Xenopus tropicalis: one gene and its partner. The protein of the gene in region 1 interacts with the protein of each later gene in a biochemical or structural test. Links are inferred from orthologs where the notes say so. Each region holds a gene or a part of one and is shown on either strand. Other genes may lie near its edges.

Region 1 (5,339 bases):
TCACTGAGTGGCTAGTTTGCTCTACATCAGTTACGAATCAAATTGCAATATAACCACTTGGAGTTGGTAATAAAGTTGATCACAAGAACCATTCTATTTTTTCTATCTAACAGTTTCTGGGACTGGGAGAAAGGAGAGAAGCTGGATTACTTTCACAATGGTAACCCTCGTTATACTCGTATAACAGCAGTCGAATATCTGAATGGCCAAGATTGCTCTTTGCTGCTTACTGCTACAGGTTAGACATCACTTTAAACTTGGAACTCTCTCGAGAGCAGTGTTTTTCTTTCCAACTTTTTTCTTCTTCACTGTCCAGTTGTAAATATGCTGGCCCAATAACTTCACCTCTGTGCCTGCAGATGATGGAGCCATCCGCGTGTGGAAGAACTTTGCTGACTTAGAGAAAAATCCAGAGATGGTGACAGCTTGGCAGGGACTGTCCGATATGCTGCCGACCACACGAGGTCAGTTACATAGACTTCCATAGGAAGTAGGATGCGCTCACAGAAGTCATATACACGTTTACTTGTGCATCCCCTACTTTTACCTTGCTAAGTTCTTACTTTCCTCAGAGCTTCAAACCCCACATTTAGCAGAATCTTTCATAGGTCTTAAAATCATACACTTTGTATTCTTTTGGTGTCTTGATCTTACAATAATCTTTTGTTTAATGAAATCTTAGCAGACATGTACATTTGTGTAGCTTGATAATCTGCACCGTGCATGAGCAACCTGTGGTCCTTTGGGGGTCTTTATTGTAAAAAAGTATCTCTAACAATTGAAGTCATTTATTGAGGTGTCTGGGAGCTGTAGCCCTACAACAGCTAAAGGGTTTCTAATTATGGGGATTTCCATTGTCCATCCATTCTGAAATCTTTTGTTAGTAGAACATATTTGATGGCCTTTTCCCCCCCTCTGTTACATGAAAATTCTATCCAAATTGATATTGTGTAACTGTATGTTTAACACTTCAGCAAAATGAACTAACTTTCTGGTGTAAATCTTTCTAAAAATGGAAATAAAAGCAGCCTGTGATTAGGTGTCATCATTTTATAAGTGGTTTCCTTATCTGCTAAAACATTGGCTGCTGCAATGTGTGTCATACCCTGTCCCCCCAGACACAACATAGCCATCTGGGTGTAACTTGCATTCCTAACTTTTGCCTTTCTTTGCTTCTGCCTGCTGCCTCCCTCCTTCCTGGTTTCTATCCCTGTCCCCTTCCCTATACCCTTTCAAACCCACAGGCCTGGCTCGAAGAGTTTCCATTTATCTTGACAGGAGTAAACAGGGGGGTAAGTTCTTCCTTCATTAGAAATCATCTGTATTTGACTATGGCATGTTTGTGCATACACAAGTGAATGTACACAGGAAAACATTTCTGTATTGTGCTTGTGTGATATGTGCAAAATAAAAATCTGACCAAACCTTGAAGAGTTGGTTCTGCCTATATATTATAGACTAATATTTGAGTCTGAATGCAACTGATTATTCTTTGTCTTGCTAACGAACCAGCTCCAGAAGCCATTTATGCATGCAAGGTTCAAGAGCAGCGGTAACATAATGTAAGACTAATACGTTGGCATCTTTCTATCTTAGGGGCTGGCATGGTGGTGGATTGGGAGCAAGAAACAGGTCTACTCATCACATCTGGAGACGTGCGAATTATCCGGCTATGGGACACAGACAGAGAGACAAAAGTGCAGGTAAAACGTTAATAAGATTTCATGGCTACCATAGATTACAGATCAACTGTATCAATCCCACAACCATACAAACACATTCAAGTGAGATCACCACCCAAAAAATGTAATTAAAGGGAAATGCAAGTCTTGAGTAATTTTCCAATATACATTCATTACTTTTTATTAAATAGTTAAATAATTATTTGTAGTTGCAATTAAAAGCAACATTCAGGTATCCCTTTCTGTTCTCTGGCTCTGACATTGTAGCAAAAGTGGCCTTTTAATAAGCTGGCTTCTGCTACATTGTTCTAGAAGTTGGAAACAATAGTACTGAGAAATTGTAAATGGCCAGACAGTTCTCTAAAGCAATTACTTTAAAGCAAATGCAGATTTTAAATAAATATATATCAGAAAATTGTTTAGAATTACAGTGTCTTTCATAAAGTAAAAACAGTCTTATTAAACAATCTTAAAGTTCTATTAAAGAAGCACAAAGGCCTGCCATATGCAATCAGGGAACAGTTATTCTAACCTCTTTTCAAATGTCTTGGGATTGCAATGTGAAGATTTCCAGCATTTTGTCTCTATGGCCTCTATATACTCAGTATATTGATGTCGTTATTCTTTAAGGATATACCCACTGGAGCAGACAGTTGTGTGACCAGCCTGTCATGTGACTCTCATCGTTCCCTTATTGTGGCTGGACTCGGAGATGGTTCAGTGCGAGTGTTTGATCGCAGGATGGCACTGAATGAATGGTAAGATTTTGCTTCTTTCATTTATGGTAACAGGCTAGCTCCTTGTCTGCCCATGTGTGGCTGCCTTCTGTATTGCATCAAACATAACAGTCATTTGGATAATGAAGAGGGAAAAGTCCTGGCTAGAAAGACATGTAGTAAAAGGTAACACAGAGTACTAGTTTGTAGCTGCAAACTGATCTGCAAAAGAAGAAAACACATATCACCCTAAGAAATAATTCCTAATCCTATGTTGTCATTCTATTTAAGCAAAATAAACTTTACTTATACTGTATACATTATTTAAATCTTGTTTCCTTCATTTATTTGTAAGTCCACAATTATGGCCTACAGGCAGGCTTTTATGTTTTGTTTTATGGAGTCTGTTACCAAAACAGGCTTTGCGTTATCCCAATTTATGCTCCACAAATGAGGACTCGATGCACACATCCGTGCACAGGCTACTCAGTTACGTATACTGAGAAGGGCAGGGGGCATGTGAGAAGGTTTGTGACATCTATGCAGAAATAAAATTGAAAGTGTCCTTAAAGATTGATTCAGGCTATTAATGAGCATTATGTGACACTTGAGTTGTATTTCATGTTTTTTCTTACAGCCGTGTAATGACGTACCGAGAGCACTCAGCCTGGGTAGTAAAGACTTCTCTCCAAAAGCAGTCCGATGGGAATATTGTGAGCGTCAGGTACTTAGTTCTGCTAACAATAACTTGCTCTAATTGTGTTCTGTACTGTTTCGTTTGCCTTATGCAACATAGTATTGCTGAGCTAATCCTAAAGGAATCCTCAGACTTTGTATTTCCTAAAAATATGTTGTGCATGTCACCCAGTTGCACAGAGATGTCACATCCAGTCTTTCATTTTCACAGTGTAAATGGAGATATCCGTTACTTCGACCCTCGTATGCCAGAATGTTTAAACTCACTGCAGATTGTGAAGGGTCTTACTGCGTTGGATATCCACCCACAGGCTAACCTGTTTGCATGGTAATGTGTAGTGGCACGTACTTATTCTATAAATGCAGCGAGTGCTGGTTTCAGTTAGGTAAGGCTTGTCCAACTGAAGGCCCTCGGACCAGTTATGTTTCCCAAGCACATGTATCAGCCACTACCTGTCTATATACTTCATTTTAATCCTAATATAAACCAACCAATGAGCATGTTGGCATACTACCTGTAAAAAGACAGCAAATCAGGGAATACAGGCAAATTCCAAATCTGCTTTGGGTTTTTTTGTCTTTGTCTAGATGCTTGAACAAAACATGTTTGCTTGCAGTCGTGGAGATTTTGATTGTACTGGGTAATCTAAGCTAATTCGAACCAAGGGTGCAGTTTTACAGCATTTGATGAGCAGCCTTAGCTATAAAATCTGTCTTTGATCTGTCTTTATTAGATCATAATATTGCGTTCCAGGAGATCACAGACATTGTAAAATATAGTCCCATATAACAAGGTTATATCTGCTGTATCAGGGTATATTCTCTTTTTCTAAACTAAACTTGATTTAATCATAGAATAATTTTGTGCTACGATTTCTGTATGTTTTGAGGAGTATAGAAATACTGATTTATAATATAAAACTATATATGTTACTGCTTCACTGGAAATTAACCTGTTCACTTTCTCCTTGGAAATCTCCACTTTGTTTTAGTGGTTCAATGAACCAGTTCATCGCTATTTACAATGGAAATGGAGAGCTGATCAGCAACATAAAGTACTACGATGGATTTATGGGACAAAGAATAGGAGCCATTAGCTGCCTGGCCTTTCATCCTTACTGGGTTTGTGTCTCTATAATAAGGATTTTTATGGGTTCTGGTGCTTGAAAGGCGAGGAAAAAGGTTAAGACACCTGTGCAACAAAAGGCACAAGTGAACTTAATTGTTCTTATTCTGTGTAAGAGGTACTTGTACCTACAGTATACAGTGGGATGCTACTGGAAATGCCATATTAGACACCATTAATTTCTCATGTTCTCTCTCTCTCTGCAGCCCCACCTGGCCGTTGGCAGTAATGACTATTATATGTCTATTTACTCAGTGGAGAAGCGAGCGAGATAGCTGTTTGAAGGAGGTTTCCTCTAGGTCTTCGTCTCTTGCTGTGTATATAAGCGAACCATGGCCTCGAGTGATTTCATTGCTGCTTCTCAAAAAATGAAGAAAACTACTTTGAATGGACTAAGCTAATGAACCAATGAAATGACAATACAAGGCTTTTTTACTGCCTGTCTGCTGCCTCATTTCAATGCAAAATTACAATTTATCTCTGAGGTGGTGAGGGCATTAAAACATTTGCTATGCTCTTGAATTTGGAATGAAACACATTAGGCTTTAGCTGTGATTCCATAGTTTAAATCCCTTCCTTTCATGCTGCATGGACAGCTGATCCGCTGTCTCCTGTTTTGAAGACATCTCATGTTTTGACAAGACTCTTTAGAATGGTTATCTCCTACTTGGAAAAGACTGGGCCCTGCTTCAACCTATGAGGCCAAATAATTCCGTCCTCAACAGGTGCAACCAATTGCGTTTCTTTATGCAGACCTCCTGTAATAGTAAACCAATCAAACAAAAGATAGGAGTTAAATCTCTGGTGTTTAATGTTTGGCTATTTTGCAGATCATTTTCATGTTGGCCATCCTCTACGTTGACTAGGACGTTACTTGCAGCACTTATTTGCTCTTCACCCCATGTAGCTACAGAAATAGGTGAACATTTTTTTAACGGGCAAATTATTTATTTTATCCTAAAGAGAAGTATTTCAGTAACATTTACTATAAAGGGAGAAATCGTGCAATTCTTATTTTTTAAATATGCTATTGGAATTTCCATTTCTCCTGGTAAAAATTCCACAGTCACATAAAGCCCAGAGATCTGCAGAGTGTGCTTTGGTGTTTCCAAAAGTGGA
Region 2 (6,089 bases), on another chromosome or scaffold:
CCCCCACTGCTACTATAGGCACCATCTCTCCCTACTATATCTGCTATCCCACAGCCACAGTCCCTTCCTAGAGGCTATTATCACCCACTGCTACTATAGGCACCATCTCTCCCTACTATACCTGCTATCCCACAGCCACAGTCCCTTCCCAGAGGCTATTATCCCACTGCTACTATAGGCACCATCTCTCCCTACTATACCTGCTATCCCACAGCCACAGTCCCTTCCCAGAGGCTATTATCCCCCACTGCTACTATAGGCACCATCTCTCCCTACTATACCTGCTATCCCACAGCCACAGTCCCTTCCCAGAGGCTATTATCCCACTGCTACTATAGGCACCATCTCTCCCTACTATACCTGCTATCCCACAGCCACAGTCCCTTCCCAGAGGCTATTATCCCACTGCTACTATAGGCACCATCTCTCCCTACTATACCTGCTATCCCACAGCCCCAGTCCCTTCCCAGAGGCTATTATCCCCCCACTGCTACTAAAGGCACCATCTCTCCCTACTATACCTGCTATCCCACAGCCCCAGTCCCTTCCCAGAGGCTATTATCCCCCCACTGCTACTATAGGCACCATCTCTCCCTACTATACCTGCTATCCCACAGCCACAGTCCCTTCCCAGAGGCTATTATCCCCCCACTGCTACTATAGGCACCATCTCTCCCTACTATACCTGCTATCCCACAGCCACAGTCCCTTCCCAGAGGCTATTATCCCCCCACTGCTACTATAGGCACCATCTCTCCCTACTATACCTGCTATCCCACAGCCACAGTCCCTTCCTAGAGGCTATTATCCCCCACTGCTACTATAGGCACCATCTCTCCCTACTATACCTGCTATCCCACAGCCACAGTCCCTTCCCAGAGGCTATTATCCCACTGCTACTATAGGCACCATCTCTCCCTACTATACCTGCTATCCCACAGCCACAGTCCCTTCCCAGAGGCTATTATCCCCCCACTGCTACTAAAGGCACCATCTCTCCCTACTATACCTGCTATCCCACAGCCCCAGTCCCTTCCCAGAGGCTATTATCCCCCCACTGCTACTATAGGCACCATCTCTCCCTACTATACCTGCTATCCCACAGCCACAGTCCCTTCCCAGAGGCTATTATCCCCCCACTGCTACTATAGGCACCATCTCTCCCTACTATACCTGCTATCCCACAGCCACAGTCCCTTCCCAGAGGCTATTAACCCCCCACTGCTACTATAGGCACCATCTCTCCCTACTATACCTGCTATCCCACAGCCACAGTCCCTTCCCAGAGGCTATTATCCCCCACTGCTACTATAGGCACCATCTCTCCCTACTATACCTGCTATCCCACAGCCACAGTCCCTTCCCAGAGGCTATTATCCCCCCACTGCTACTATAGGCACCATCTCTCCCTACTATACCTGCTATCCCACAGCCACAGTCCCTTCCCAGAGGCTATTATCCCCCACTGCTACTATAGGCACCATCTCTCCCTACTATACCTGCTATCCCACAGCCACAGTCCCTTCCCAGAGGCTATTATCCCACTGCTACTATAGGCACCATCTCTCCCTACTATACCTGCTATCCCACAGCCCCAGTCCCTTCCCAGAGGCTATTATCCCACTGCTACTATAGGCACCATCTCTCCCTACTATACCTGCTATCCCACAGCCACAGTCCCTTCCCAGAGGCTATTATCCCCCACTGCTACTATAGGCACCATCTCTCCCTACTATACCTGCTATCCCACAGCCACAGTCCCTTCCCAGAGGCTATTATCCCCCCACTGCTACTATAGGCACCATCTCTCCCTACTAAAGCACAGACACAGGTGCCTCACAAAGGCTATTGTCGCTACTACTCTCAAAACCATGGCTGCCCCAACATATTGCGCGCTATGACATTTAGCACGGTCCCCGCAGTCGCCCCCCCGTCATTAACCCCCAAAGCGAGCCATATCCGCGAACATATAGATTGTAAGCTCTACGGGGCAGGGACCTCGTTCATCTTGTTTCTGACTCTTATTGCAACTGTACCTTGTATTTATTTGTATTTATTGTTGTACTTTGTATTTATCCATTATCTTTAACACCGTTTGTATTTATGTATTCTACTGTACAGCACTGCGTACATAAGTAGCGCTTTATAAATAAAGATATACATACATACACACACAACCAAGGACTATCAATAAATGCCCCAAACAACACTGCTCAATGCACTAACAAACAACTCCCCTCGCATACTAGAACCCCGCCCCTTTCTGAAGTAACACCACGGTACTATTTCAGCTAACTAACCCGGCCCCTCCCTCTGGGCGGAGCTAAAGTTCATCACGTGGGGCACGCATACACGTACGAGCTTTAGGCTAGAGAAATGATATTGATAATGTAATGAGAAGTACGTGTGCGAGTAAAGTCCCGCCGGTGTGTCGGTGTGTGGGGCAGTATGATGACCCTCACTGGGAGCTTGCCTATTGTTCCTAGGTTTGGGCAAGCTGAGTTGGCAGCCAACATGTTGGGGAGAGGGGGCGTGGCCTTGCCGATATAAATGGGGGAGGCGGCGAGTGGTGGAGGCTGGTGGCGGTGACGTCTGTAGCTGTGCGACCCGGGGGGCTCTGGTTCGGCTCAGTGAGGGCTGCAGGTAAATCTTGTTTGTGCGGCTTGCGGCTGTCTGTCTGCGTCCAACATTGCACGGGTAGGCAGCGATTGGGAGGGGATGCTGGGAGCAGTAGTCGGAGCTCTGCTAGCTTGGGCTGGCTGCATAAACGTTATAAGCCTGTGGGTTGTGCTCAGCCGGTTTGCACTCTTGAAACGTTTCAATGATTTTAAATTGATTTGTAAATTGCTTTTAAGGCTGTTGCTCTACTCTGCACTGCGGCTTCTGCCTGTATTACAGATTGGAAAGTTTTTGTTATTTTGTTTTTCTGCACAAAATTACTGGGTTTTGTTAGTTACCTGGGAGTTGAGGGATTTGCTCCTTTTTGCATGGCTTCTAATAACCAGGCTGTTGGCAATGCATGCTGGGACATTCATAGAGAGCAGGGTGCACATCTGGAACTTGCCATAGACAAAGGGTTAAAGTGGGGCTTTATGGCTCTCTGGCCTGTGGGTTTTCCAGGCCCCCTACACCTGTGCCTCCTGTGCCTAATGTCACTTGGAGTGTGCTAAGGAGGGACAATGTAGCAGGCCCTGGTGTCAAGAAACCGCCAGTACGCTCCATGTCTGTCCCCTTAGAAACCGCCAGTACGCTCCATGTCTGTCCCCTTAGAAACCGCCAGTACGCTCCATGTCTGTCCCCTTAGAAACCGCCAGTACGCTCCATGTCTGTCCCCTTAGAAACCGCCAGTACGCTCCATGTCTGTCCCCTTAGAAACCGCCAGTACGCTCCATGTCTGTCCCCTTAGAAACCGCCAGTACGCTCCATGTCTGTCCCCTTAGAAACCGCCAGTACGCTCCATGTCTGTCCCCTTAGAAACCGCCAGTACGCTCCATGTCTGTCCCCTTAGAAACCGCCAGTACGCTCCATGTCTGTCCCCTTAGAAACCGCCAGTACGCTCCTTGTCTGTCCCCCTTAGAAACCGCCAGTACGCTCCATGTCTGTCCCCTTAGAAACCGCCAGTACGCTCCATGTCTGTCCCCTTAGAAACCGCCAGTACGCTCCATGTCTGTCCCCTTAGAAACCGCCAGTACGCTCCATATCTGCAGACTGATGGTAATTGTATCCTTTCAGTGTGTGTGTTGGTAGGTGGGTGCCATTGCAGTTATTGTTTGCAACATTGGGTAGATAAGGGGATTATTATTTTCTCAGCAGGGGTGGCATTATTTTAATTCCTTGTTTGGAATATTTAAAAGGAAATCCAGTTTCTAAACCAAAATTTGTTAAAGAGCCCCACACAACAACAAAACTCTAATATACCTATCCCTGTAATCTGTTCCTTCCTAAAGTATGCATAAATACTATTTTTATATGCTGAAATCCAGCAGCAAAACCATTCATTTTTCTGCCTCATTTGAAATCCTGGCAGGGGAGGAGGGACTAAAACATGGATGTTTCAAATTGTAACAACTCGCAACTTACTGACCTCATGCATGAACTACATAACCCACAATGCATTGCACTGAGATTCCTTTCTTATTGACACCATGTGTGCAGGGGATTGTGGGAAATGCTTGTTTAGAACAATGCATAATCTATTTTGGTCTGTTGGGCACATTGTAGTTCATCTTTAAGTTAACTCTTGGTATCTTATAGAATGGGCTATTTATGTATACAGCACACAGGGCCATGTTTTCTATATAGGCACTCGAAGGCCCTTGTCTAGGGGTGTCCTTTGATGCCTATATATAAAAAAAAAAATTTTATTTTAAAATTTAAATATTTTCTTGGTTAAATCTGGCAGTGGAGCCGAGACAGAAGGGGGGGTAACCATCGCTCTTGAGGGTCAGGAAGGGGGTGGCTGAAGTCCGATTCCTAGGGCAGAGCTGGGCCCTTTTCTTCCAGAAAAGAAAGAAGAAAGCAGTAGGATTCCCAAAGCAATCATGTGCTACTTTGTAACCGCAATGAAAGTACATTAACCTTTTGACTGCCAGCCTTTGCAGATTCTTCTTGATTCCCAGTGGTTTGATAAAAGTTGGTACTTCAGTAGATTCTACAGCATTGACTTGCAAAGTGACGGGCTTTTAGGGACACAAACACTATTGCAGTGCTACCCATGTAACTTCCATGCAGCCAGCATTTTTATTGAGGAATCTCATACAAAGGATAGCCTGTGACTCATTAAGTCCAGCATTTATCTATCATTATGGAGTAACTTGCCTGTAAAATTTCATAACACAATGTAGATGTGACTGAATCTTTCCCTGTACCCACCTGCTTGTAAGTGTGTTAAAGGGATTATGTCATGATTTTTATGGTATTAGTTTTTATGGTAGGATAGTCTTTATTACTAAATTACACTGTGTACATTGCAAATAATTCACTCTACCATTTAAAATGTTATTCTTTAACCAATCTTTTTTTTTTTTTTTTTTTTAAGCTGTAATATTAGTGTAGGCAGCCATCTCAGTGCACTGCAATAGCAAAACCGTACTTGGGTTTCTCCTGCTTGGGTGCTATTCTCCTGTCTACCACTAGGTGAGGCATGGGAGCATATTCAGCAATGCAAATGATTTCTGAATACATTTTGATTATACAGTGCTTAATCTGTGGGCGGAAAAATATGGCAATCTCTCTCCAGATTATCCTTATAGGCAGGGGTCCCCAACCTTACAACAAAAGCACACAAGTTTCTGGGGTGCCAATTATAGGCTGTGATTAGCTATTGGTAGCCCCTACATGGTCTGGCAGCAGGAGGTTCTGTTGGGCAATTACACTGGGTTTTTATGCAGTCAAAGCTTGCCGCTAACCTCTTATTCAAAAATAAGCACCTGCTTTGAGACCCTTGGGAGCAACATCCAATGGTATGGTGCGTAACATGTTGCTCACATCCCACTGGTTGGGGATCACTGCCCTGAGAGTAACAAGGGAAAAGCCAGGGTCACCAAAAATAATTTTGTCTAATAAAAGAAAACTTAATATTAAGCAACTTTGCAATATACATTCATTACAAATTTGTAATGGCTTTTAATCTTTGTGATTATATTACTGCTATTAAAAGTAATGTTTGTCCTTTTCTCTGAGTTTGGAAACAATGTAACACAAACCAACAGACTGACAGACTTCTCTGGCTAGAGGAGACTACCCTTTGCAACATTGTTTAAAAAGTAAAAACCAGGAGTTCAGCAAATGCTGCCTTCAATAGCAATTACATAGCAATTTCTAAATACAGTTTAAATTACTAAACATTTTTAATAAATTCATATTGGAAAACTGCTTAGAATTTTCTTTTATTGGCAAAAATTATTTTTTGGATTGACATCCTTTAAAACGGGGTCGAACCAAACCCACAAACTTATGGATTCAGCCGGATACCAAATCATTCTTTAATATGCATATTACATACATATTGTCGCATTTGATAGTCTAAAACTGTAAAGTCACATGACCTAAAGTCCTTTCACTCCTACTTCTGCCAGTCATATATAATT

The links. The genes of interacting proteins can lie anywhere in the genome.
Region 2: the proteins of rptor (region 1) and akt1s1 interact in a biophysical measurement, tested with the Homo sapiens proteins (2 studies listed by BioGRID and IntAct, with this or other methods). The link is inferred for Xenopus tropicalis from reciprocal best matches to the Homo sapiens genes RPTOR and AKT1S1.

The regions. Positions count from the first base shown.
Region 1 is NC_030686.2:26,905,366-26,910,704, reverse strand, and holds part of rptor (regulatory-associated protein of mTOR), read left to right. Parts: intron 1-113; coding exon 114-238; intron 239-359; coding exon 360-464; intron 465-1,244; coding exon 1,245-1,292; intron 1,293-1,596; coding exon 1,597-1,703; intron 1,704-2,312; coding exon 2,313-2,440; intron 2,441-3,035; coding exon 3,036-3,122; intron 3,123-3,305; coding exon 3,306-3,422; intron 3,423-4,086; coding exon 4,087-4,216; intron 4,217-4,426; coding exon 4,427-4,495; 3' UTR 4,496-5,339. UniProt on the Homo sapiens protein: Component of the mechanistic target of rapamycin complex 1 (mTORC1), an evolutionarily conserved central nutrient sensor that stimulates anabolic reactions and macromolecule biosynthesis to promote cellular biomass generation and growth.
Region 2 is NC_030683.2:111,142,047-111,148,135, reverse strand, and holds the start of akt1s1 (proline-rich AKT1 substrate 1), read left to right. Parts: upstream 1-2,584; 5' UTR 2,585-2,643; intron 2,644-6,089. UniProt on the Homo sapiens protein: Negative regulator of the mechanistic target of rapamycin complex 1 (mTORC1), an evolutionarily conserved central nutrient sensor that stimulates anabolic reactions and macromolecule biosynthesis to promote cellular biomass generation and growth.